Neurospora crassa OR74A: one gene and its partner. The protein of the gene in region 2 purifies or fractionates together with the protein of the main gene of each other region. This does not show direct contact. Links are inferred from orthologs where the notes say so. Each region holds a gene or a part of one and is shown on either strand. Other genes may lie near its edges.

The links. Proteins that work in one complex are often made in the same cells at the same time.
Region 1: the proteins of rgb-1 (region 2) and NCU01843 purify together in Saccharomyces cerevisiae (affinity purification with mass spectrometry, with the first as the bait; 3 studies listed by BioGRID). This does not show direct contact. The link is inferred for Neurospora crassa OR74A from reciprocal best matches to the Saccharomyces cerevisiae genes CDC55 and CCT3.

Annotation. Positions count from the first base shown.
Region 1 is NC_026502.1:2,190,355-2,195,217, reverse strand, and holds the start of NCU01843 (T-complex protein 1 subunit gamma), read left to right. Parts: upstream 1-1,166; 5' UTR 1,167-1,401; coding exon 1,402-1,426; intron 1,427-1,548; coding exon 1,549-1,615; intron 1,616-1,709; coding exon 1,710-1,918; intron 1,919-1,983; coding exon 1,984-2,574; intron 2,575-2,648; coding exon 2,649-3,286; intron 3,287-3,290; exon of another isoform or gene 3,291-3,369; coding exon 3,370-3,462; 3' UTR 3,463-3,766; coding exon of another isoform or gene 3,767-4,489; 3' UTR 4,490-4,863. Other genes in the region: NCU01842 (hypothetical protein), read left to right, coding at 1-734; NCU01844 (hypothetical protein), read right to left, coding at 3,767-4,489. UniProt on the Saccharomyces cerevisiae protein: Molecular chaperone; assists the folding of proteins upon ATP hydrolysis. Known to play a role, in vitro, in the folding of actin and tubulin. In yeast may play a role in mitotic spindle formation.
Region 2 is NC_026501.1:3,522,835-3,528,649, forward strand, and holds rgb-1 (protein phosphatase PP2A regulatory subunit B), read right to left. Parts: upstream 3,751-5,815; 5' UTR 2,826-3,750; coding exon 2,782-2,825; intron 2,536-2,781; coding exon 2,495-2,535; intron 2,390-2,494; coding exon 2,292-2,389; intron 2,197-2,291; coding exon 1,545-2,196; intron 1,425-1,544; coding exon 838-1,424; intron 763-837; coding exon 739-762; 3' UTR 132-738; downstream 1-131. Other genes in the region: NCU09376 (hypothetical protein), read left to right, coding at 4,867-5,815.

The DNA of each region.
Region 1 (4,863 bases), on a different chromosome or scaffold from region 2:
AGGTCGAGCCATCGCCGGCGGTGGATATAAGTAGTCTGACCAGCAGTGCGCTGTTTGAAAAAGAGAAGGAGAAGGAACCACAGCCGGATGAAGGAATATTATCTCCAAACGGCATCCTCCCAAGCTCAGTAGACCTGGGAAGGAGAAGACGCGCCTCATCCTTCTCTACTGCAGCCCCTGCAATGACAATTCCTTCGGTCCAAGAACAATCAACTCTAAACCTCCCAGCCGCGGACGAGACCGATGAAAACGCCGCGGTCGAGGCTCAGATTCAGAAGGAGCTGAGTAATAGTATTACAACACGGCCCAGGGGTGGAAAGGGGAGGCAATCAATGAGCCGTTCCGTACCCACGATCCCAACAGAAAATTACGAGCACGAGGACGCACAACTCTCGACGAACTCAGCCTCGGTGGATCTTTACGACTTTGCTAGTTGTGCGTCTCCGGATAGCGCAGCACCCCAGCTAGAAGCGACTACCGGCGATGTTCCTGTTAATAAGAAGGCACCCAAAGGTTCAAGAAGAGCGTCCTCAGCTGCTTCGACCGAGACAACAGCAACAGCATCCGCAAAGCCAAGATCTTCCCGAAAAAGGGCTTCGATGCTGGTGCCGAAGAAAAGCTTGTGGGCTGAAGAGTTAGCGCAGGAGGAAGAGGATGAGGAAGATGTCGGCAATGACAGTGGCGGGTCCTTGTCCAAGGGGAGGGCCTCGAGGAGGAGAAGCATGATGCTTTGAATGGACCTTGGCAGAGCTGGGGAGCCTGAGATGGAATTGTTGTATAGTTGTTTCACACGGCACAGCGTAAGGCGTTTGGTGGTTTACAGGATATGGAGCTGAATCACACGTGGAACTGGACAAGAGCTCCCCCCATGACTGTACTTAACAAGCAAGCTAGCATGTTTGGATAGCTCAAACATGGAGAGGACATGACGCAAATGTATTTTATGACCTGTATAAGAATATTCCCCCTGATCAAGCATCAACAATGCGTTGCTGCGCGACCGTTAGCGCTGACAGCTGGCAGCGGATGCCACGACACTGGACGTTTCTTCCGTTCTGTTCGGCAGTCCTCTGCCCCACCTTTCAGTCCATGGTGGGGTGCCGTCCACTGGCGACGAAAGCGGCAGGGAGCTTGGTCCAGGTCGATTCCATCAACTTTTCGGAGGGGGTCCAGCATCCCACCTTGACCTACCTGAGGTTGACGCTGAAGCTGCCTGCCCGATCATTGAACTGGAGAACAGCAAACAACAACGGCGGCCATTCCTTCTCCAGATTTTTGCCAACCATCCTGCTTCCCCCCCGCGCATTCTGAAGCATCACCATCTGAAGACATAGTCTATACCTACCGTACAGCTTTCTTCTTTTCAGTCACCACTAAAGCAACCCATATAAATCAGGCACCATGCAGGCACCGGTCCTGGTAATGAGTATGTTCCAGCGCTCGAAGCTACCTCTTACCCCTTTTCGCACTGATATTGGGGATATCCTCACTTGTCAGCCGGCAGTAACCATGCAGCATACTGACTGACCTTACCTCCTACCCTTACAGACACCAACAGTGGTGAGAGGCAGACTGGCCGCAAGGCTCAGATGTCCAACATCGCCGCCGCCAAAACGTACAGTTCCCAGGCCCTTCCCCCCCTAATAGCGGATAAGACCGCCTTTCACCCCGCCATGGACCTTGACTGACCGCCCCCCCTCGGCTCGTAGTGTCGCTGATATCATCCGATCCTGCCTCGGCCCCAAGGCCATGCTCAAGATGCTTCTCGATCCCATGGGCGGTATCGTCCTCACCAACGACGGCCATGCTATTCTCCGCGAGATCGAAGTGTCGCACCCCGCAGCCAAGAGCATGATCGAGCTCAGCCGGACACAAGACGAAGAAGTTGGTGACGGTACCACAACAGTCATCATTCTTGGTAGGGAAATCTTTGGCTACAGCTGCGCCGCATACCGTTCACTGACAGGTGGTATTCACAAACAGCCGGCGAGATCCTCGCGCAATCCCTCCCCCAGCTCGAGCGCAACATCCACCCCGTCGTCATCATCTCGGCCTTCAAGCGCGCCCTCAAGGACGCCCTGCAGATCATCGAAGACATCTCGCTCCCGATCGACATCAACGATGATCAGGCCATGTACAAGCTCATCTCGTCCTCGATCGGCACCAAGTACGTTTCCCGATGGTCGGAACTCATGTGCGGGCTAGCGCTCAAGGCCGTGCGCACCGTGACGTGGGAGCAGGGTAATGGCAAGAAGGAGGTCGACATCAAGAGGTATGCGCGCGTGGAGAAGGTGCCGGGCGGCGAGATTGAGGACAGCAGGGTATTGGATGGCGTTATGCTCAACAAGGACATCACACACCCCAAGATGCGCCGCAGGATCGAGAACCCGCGCATCATCCTGCTCGACTGCCCGCTCGAGTACAAGAAGGGCGAGTCGCAGACCAACATTGAGATCACAAAGGAGGAGGACTGGAACCGCATTCTGGAGATTGAGGAGGAGCAGGTCAAGCAGATGTGCGAGCATATCCTTGCCTTTAACCCCGACCTTGTTATCACAGAGAAGGGTGTCTCTGGTGAGTTCGACTCCATAAATGGGAAGCGCGTATCACGTCGGTGGCAGGAAAGCTAACGATGATTTCACTCACAGATCTCGCACAACACTATCTCATGAAGGCCAACGTTACCGCGCTCAGACGTGTGCGCAAGACCGACAACAACAGAATTGCCAGGGCGACCGGCGCTACTATCGTCAACCGAGTAGAGGATCTCCAGGAATCCGACGTTGGCACTAACTGCGGCCTGTTTGAGGTCGAGAAGATTGGCGACGAGTACTTCACCTTCCTCACAAAGTGCAAGGACCCCAAGGCCTGCACCGTCCTTCTCCGCGGTCCCTCCAAGGACGTTCTCAACGAGATCGAGCGCAACCTGCAAGATGCCATGGGCGTGGCGCGCAACGTCATGTTCCACCCCAGGCTATCGCCCGGTGGTGGTGCGACCGAGATGGCCGTGTCCGTCAGGTTAACACAGCTCGCGAAGAGCATCGAGGGTGTCCAACAATGGCCGTACAAGGCCGTCGCCGAGGCCCTCGAGGTCATTCCCCGTACACTTGTCCAGAACGCCGGCAAGAGCCCCGTCCGTGTGCTCACCGATCTCCGCGCGAAGCATGCCGAGGGCAAGAATTCGTGGGGTATCAACGGCGATACTGGTGCCATTGTGGATATGAAGGATTACGGAGTCTGGGAGCCCGAGGCCATCAAGGTGCAGAGCATGAAGACTGCTATCGAGGTATGTTTGGACTTTTTTTGTCTTTTTTCTTGACGTTCAGTTTCGATGCTCTCTAACTGTCTACTAACCATCTATACAAACAGGCTGCCTGCCTCCTATTGAGAGTTGACGATATCTGCAGTGCCAGAAAGGCACAGCCAGGTGTCGGTGTCAGCTCTGGCGGCGGTGATGAGTAAATGTTATGAACGGTGCGGGTGGGTAGCCCAGGGTCTACTGAGTTATAGTCAGTCCGGCAAAAGGTGGTATGATATCCCGTTAATGATTCTTTGGTGGTCCACGCATAGCACCCATTGCATGAGCACCCCTTTATGTATATGCTAGATGGACCTTGGCATGGTAGATAAAAGGGGTTCTGAAAGGCCTGGTCGAGAGGTCTAATCCTTGTTCCGTAACCCCGAGCGTGATGCTGTCTATGCTTTCCCCCGTCGCTGATGGTTGCTCTACTCGCTTGGGTAAAATCAATACTGTCAACATCCCCCTTTAGTCGTCTTCAACGATAAGTAGCCCAGACTCCGCATTTCCGGGTACTACGGCCCCAGGAGCAGCCGCCGCCGTGGCCGAAGTAGACTTGTCCGCTTCCTTTGCGGTACTCTCCCCAGCGGTGTCGTTGCTAGTGGCTCCAGCTCCGGCTGCACGCTCCTTTGCGCCTCCCTCGTCCCCAGTCTTTGCAGTCTCTTTCTTCTCAGCCCCGTTTGCTGTCGTCACACTCCCTCCTTGACTTGCACTACCATTTCCACCTCCACCTCCACCTCCACCTTTGCCCCCCTTCCCTTTATTCTTCTTCTTGTCCCTCTTCTCCCGATTCCTCCTTGTCTTTTCCTCATCCGCCCTCTCCCTCTCCCTCTTCTTGGCTTCAAACTCCTCTCTCTCCTTCTCCTTCGCAACCTCCTCATCCATGATCCTCAGCCGTTCGTACTCCCTCCTCCGGGCAGCTTTATATACATGAAACTCGCCCGATCCCGCACCGGCGGAAGAACCCTGAACGTTGGTGACGATTTCCGGAGGGGGAGGTAGTCGAGAGGAGCCAGAAGTGGTGGAGGAGGGGAGCGGTGGGATGATGATTTCTCGGTCGGGTTTGGCGAAGAGTTGTTGTAGGTGGGAGGCTTGAAGGGAGGTGGGAGAGGAGGCGCGGAGACGCTTGGTGGGGCGGGAGGAGAGGCGGGAGGTGGAGGTTGGGATCGAGGAGGGGTCGTCGGCTGACATTTTTGCGCCTTTGTTTTGTGTTTTCTGTTGACAGTGGTCTGCGGTGGCGGCTGCGGCTGCGGCTGCGGTTGTGATGATGGTGGTGGTGGTGGTGGCTGTCGGGTGTTGCCTAGGTTGAGACGCGGCGGGTTGTTCTGGTTCGTGACGTTCTGAGGAGCGAGGCGCGCGCACGCCGTTGAGTTTGTTGCTCTCTTTTGTGGTGCGATTAAGCGCTGATTTGGTGATGACGGTGGGATCACTAAAGTTTGCTGTTGCAAATGCTGGAGGGCGTCGAGGCGGAGATGTGAAACTGGAGTTGAATTTCGGCCGGAGAATGAAGTCGCGACAACGGACTGGTCGATCGCAGCGATGGGGTTTGGTTCATTCCAGATCGA
Region 2 (5,815 bases):
GGTGTTGTATTTGCGTCTTCTTCCTTTTACATTCTTAATTTTCATCTTTGAATACCACCCCCCCCCCCCCCCCCCCTTCCTTTTTTTTTCTTTTTCTTGAGGGGGGTTTTCTTTCTTCTTCCCCTTTTTTTCTTCTTTTTCTTCTTCTTTTTTGTATTGAGCCAAAACCTACGCTTAGTCATGTTTTCATATTTATATCTTTTGTTTTCTACGTTCTGCGCGGAACATCTGGGAACTGGTGGGTATTCCATGCCGAACCAAGCGCTTACATCCATCCCATCGTGACATGACACTCGGCGCTCTGCCCTGCGGACGGAACGAAAAGGACATAATGGTTATTTAACATACGAGTTACTCTCCCCTTATCGTCCAAGGCTGGCGGCTCCCTGGGCCATTTGTTTCACTTCCGCTTCGTTCCTCACGCCCGCCCTGCCTTGTTCATGGGATCTTGAAAAGTCGATGTGCCAAACCGGGCGTAGCACTTCATGACTGGAAATTTCCCCGCAAACCTGCCTCTCAATGCATCCCTGACCTATATGTGTCCTCATCTTTCAATCAGGCTATCCGTCTCGCTCTTGCTAAAGACGCCACCATGCCCCAGGCCTCGACAAATCGAGCACGAACAAACCAGAACCGCGAATGCTCCCAGTCAGACTGTGGAACGAGAGGCATAATAGCCTCAGCAGTTATGTGAAGGGAATCCCAATCACATCCATCCCCCCGCCTTCATCATTCTGCCTACAACGCGGAAAAGACAAATAGCTGTGGGAAAGATGGTTAGCTATCAATAGGGCCCAGATGAGGATGCGGTTAAGAACTAGCGGGGCAAGAACTTACGTTGTTGGTTGCTGCGATGGCGATGCTGTCCTCGAACGGATGCCAGCTCATATGGAGAATCTTCTTGTTGAAGTCGATTTGATCGGCGTCTGTCTCTTTACGCATCCTTTGGCCCTGGCCTGCCGCTGCCGGGCTTCCTGCCCGTGAATTTCCCTTCTTACCACCGTTAGCTGTGGGACTTGTCGACGAATTAATGGGTGTCGGCACCCCAACTTTCTTGGCCTTGAACGCCGACTTATCCGCTTGCAGGACGACCTCCACCTCCTTGTCGGGATCCGATGGGTAGATCATGAAGTTGTTGTTGTAGCTTCCTGTCATTACGTTCTTGGCGTCTCCAGAGAATACAACCTCGAATTTGTCAAAAATGCTGTCATTTTCGTATGTGTCGCAGAGTCTCGGCCTGAGGTGTTCATGAATTGGAATCGTCTTGACTGGCTGCCGCTCCATGTTGACATCCCAAATCTTGACCGTCAAGTAGTCGCGAGAAAGGATATACCGGCCGTCATGGGAGAATCGAACGTCGGAGATGGAAGATATGATTTCAGAGAAGAAAGATCGGGACGATGGGTCTTCTTCTTGTTCGAACACTATACAGGGAAGAAAAAAACGAATTGTAAGCAATGATCAGCGGAGAATAGAGATAAAAAAAAAAAAAAAAAAAAAAAAAAAAAAACACTTCAAACACAGTTCACCGAAATCCAACGTACTCTTTGCGTGCTGGTCGCACAACGCCCTTTCGCGCATATCTGCCAGCTTGATTGTGCCCTTAGAACTGGCATACATGAACCAGTTGCAGCTCAGAGGGTGGAACTCTGCGGCTGTAATGACCTCTGTCAATTCCTCCATGTTCGCCGGCTTGATGTCCACAATGTTGAAGCTCTGGTCTTGGATATTCAGATTCCATAGGTTGATCCGCAAATCATCACTGCTGATGAAGGTCTCGCCATCGCTGTTGACGGAAATGCTGTTGATGTGGTACGCATGAGCATTGGCATATGTTCTCCGAGGCACGGCGGCAACGACTGTGTCGTGATGGGTAAGCCTGGGTAGCTTGAGATCGGCGGGACTGCGAAACTGAGTATGAGGTAAGGCACGAGGTGCGCCTCCACCGCCGGCTACGCTTGCAGGCGTCAAATCATGGGATAGGTTGTTCTCGGCGACAACCTTAAGCGACTTCTCGAACACTTTCCATAGCTTGATCGTCTTATCGTTTGTCGAGAGGAGGTAGTGGGAGGCATTTTGTCTCCTGCACCACTTGATTTTATTGATCTTTTCCTCAATTTCAAGGGACTTGAGGTAGTCGAACTCGGGCTCGTGGGACTGAAATTCGGTATGAAACTTGTATTCGCAGGTTTTTTTCTGTCCACAGGTAAGCAAGACATAGACAAGAAGCGGGCCAGCAAATAAGCCGGAAGGGAAAGGGGAGAGGGGGGGTTTGCCGCAACTCCACTAACCGTCTCGTTCCGTTCAAATAGCACGACTCGTCCACCCTTATCACCAGTCGCCAAGTAGTTTCCGGTGTGGTCAAATTCTACCGTGGAGATGATATCGGCTGGTAAAGGCGGGTCAGTATGGCTGAGGGTATTGATGACGTGAGGAGGGGCATTGACGGGCTCCTGGTCGAGGGACCCGTCGTGGGAGGAGGGGTGGGTCGTACCTTCGGTGATGTCCTCAACATCTCCCTTGTCGCCGAAGCATCTATGACAAGATCTCAGTACGATGAAGTGGGGCAAACACAGGAAAACGAGGCGACGTCTCGTATAAAGAAGAGCGTTGACGGAGAAAGGCGTAGGTCAACGTGGAGCGGAGATCGGATCCAGCCGCGGGCGCGGGTACGGGCACAGGGACAGGCACGAGCGCAATCGCACAGAGACGGACGCTCGTGAGGCAGAAGTCGACGGGGATGGAAAACATGACGGAGGGTCAAGGAGGAGTTCGACTTACTGGGTAAACTTCCATGTCGGAGAGTTGGTATCTGTTTCCACCATCTTCAACGATTCCCGGGGCCGTGGGCGATGAGATCCCCACCTCTACCAGATATGGGACAAGGACGACGAGCGGACGGAGGGACAGACGGGCAACGGCGGCAAGGGACGACGTTCCCAAGGGCGATGATGGACAAGAAGAGATTTCACGAGCTCGAGGCGCGAAATCAAGGGATGGCGGAGAGACGGGAGTTGGAGATCTGGAGAGAGGTGCCCAACAGAGACCGGGTTAAAACACGTGGGTGCGCTATGGATGTTGTTGCAGGGAGCATATGTATGGATGAAGGTAAGGGTCGGTCGGGTAGGGAAAGACGGGAGGAAAGCAATAAGCAAACTTGGTAGGTGTTGAGGTAAGGTATGTAATGTACCTGGCTGGTGGGCGGTCGGGTGTGGTGGAAGCAGAGCCCGACCCGAGTGGTAGTAAGGTACGTAGGGCGACGAAAGGGAAGCAGACGGAGGTACGCCGGTAGCGCAGCGAGGTACCTAGGTAGCTGGGCGGAGGAGGACCTGATGGGGCCCGGGATGGAGGGTGTGAGGCTCAACGGCCAGACGGAAAACTACCTCTAAGTACCTAGTAGTGCAGCGATAAAGCGATTGAGGTGCGAACCTGAACCCAACTGAGAGAGTGTTTTTTGCCGCAGCGGCGAGACCTGGACAACTGAAGACTATGGGTGCCGACCGAGCGATAATCTGTCGTTGCTTCCTGGGAGCTGACTACCTCTGGACGTGGGCCGGTTTCCTGTTCGTGCTGCAGGTGCGCAAAGCCAAGTGAAGATGCGGGGTACGTCAAGCCGAGTGCTGTATGCGGATATGGCGTAAAGTGTTGTTGGTGAAGGGTTAGGTTGTTGCCTTTGCAAGATTGAGCAAAAGACGGATGGTGGATGGAGATGGAGATAGATGGGCCGAGATGTGGGAAGGAGCAAGCAAGGACGCCCTCATCCTGCCAGGGAGTTAAGCTTTGGCGATTGAAGGGAATGACGAGCTAGTTAGTTAGCGAGGTACGGAGTGGGCACGGGGTGGATGGGCGGGCGATGAGGTACCCTTTACTACATGCTAAGTAGGTACGTATGGTGGTAAGGTTGGCCCCTCCCTCCTCAACACAGGGGCATGGGGGCCCGTCAGCCCGTGCCCTCCATGCCCGCCCGTTCAGGCCTGCTCGGTGAATGGAAGATCTCGTCCAATACCCAGGGCCGCGCAGCTTCCACCAGTGAGCAATTGCGGGGTCCATTTATCCCGGGCGGCGACGAGATGGCATCTGCCATGTACAACTACGAGGTAGGCTCGTAGGTATATACCTACCTACCTAGTATCAACCTCTGCGCTAGGTATTGGGTGATGGTATACGGGCATCTACACCAGAAAGGCACACTCGCTTTGTGCCAGCTGACTAGCTATTGAACTTGGACGTATGCTATGGATCAAGAGCGCACTTTAAGTTGTCCGCATACGTCTTCAATAGCTCATAGCAAAGTATGGTCATGACCCGGCCTCTTAACACCGCTGAGGTCCGTCTCTGGATCCCATGATGGCATCATGGCTTTATTGTGCCCATGGCATGTGTTGGCGTGTGGTCCCGTCGCTTTGTTCAATATCTCTTGAGCCTTGCCATCCAATCGAACGGCCCCCACGGGTGCAACTGCAGCTCTTTCAGCTTCCGTCTTTTGTTCACAGGTACATATTCCATCAGACATGCCAGGACTGTCTAGTTCGCGACTGGACGGAAAAGTTTGGCAGGTCTGATATCCCTGTTACATGATAGATGTCATTCAAGGTGAGGAGTCTAAACTCCCCAGACGCTGCTGTAGCCTCACGGCCATGTCGAAACGCACATGCTGCATGAATCACCCCAAAAAAGCACGTGTGGTGTACTGGCCCGCCTTGAAACTTCGGGGTCTAGGTCTGACGTTGCGGATCTGCCGGGGAGCCGGGACTATATAAGTTACATGATATCCACCCTCCCCCGGTCCGCATCATTGCTCGGACCTGGCCACGGCATCCTTCGTCTTCTTGGATTTTTGACAGGTCATAGGGCCCCCACCTATTGATGTTGGGCAGCACGTTGCCGGTCCTTGATGTCTCTCCATCTCTTCCTTCTTATTATCATCTCATCGGTACGGCTCTTGTAACTCAACTCTCCCGCTTACACATCGATCTCAGCCCATCACTAGATTTATATGCACCCACCAATCTCATTGTGAGGTTGAAGATGGTGCCAATGCCTGAAAAGACCAAGGGTAAAGGAAAGGATGTTGGAACGTCGGAGGAATCAGTTGGTGCTGGTGATATAGGCCACAATGGGCAGACCGGGGGCGGGGACGATCTGCTTACCCGCATCGCCAAGTCAGCAACATCACTACCTTCAGCTTTGTTCTCCAAAGGTAACATGACCGGCGCAGTTTCGGGACTAGGCAACGGCGAGAAGGGAGAAGGCTCACGAGCGGCGGCAACAGTGGCAAGGGCCACGGGAAATCTCGAGCGCGTGGGTGAGAGTTCTGCCCCGCTTCATTCTGCCTCTCATGGCGGCGAGACCATCAGGTCAGCCCAGATTCAGGGACATGTTGCGATGCAAGAGGCTTCTTTCGCCGCCTTTCTTGACACCACCGAGCCTCTTACGGCGCCCGAAGGAGCAGGTGTATTGGAAGGGGCGTGGAATATGAGAGGCAATGTTCCGAGTTCGACAGTACCAGCAACAAACAACCAATGGACTCATTCTTTTCCGGCATCCACTGTCGCCGAACAGGAAGCGCGCGATGGCCAGGAAGTTGTAGCATTGCTCCGGGGTGATCTGAATCTGGATGCAGAGCTCGCAGGGCCGGAGGAGAATACAATATTGCCCGATGACATGGCCAGCTTGCGCAAGGCTTTATTCGGGAACGACGATCCCGGCAGCAGCTCATCACCTATTGCGTGGGATCATGCGCTCAACTTCATCCCACTTTCCCTGCTGGGGTTCGACAGTGTTTCGACGGCGCCAAGTACGAGAGATTTGTTGG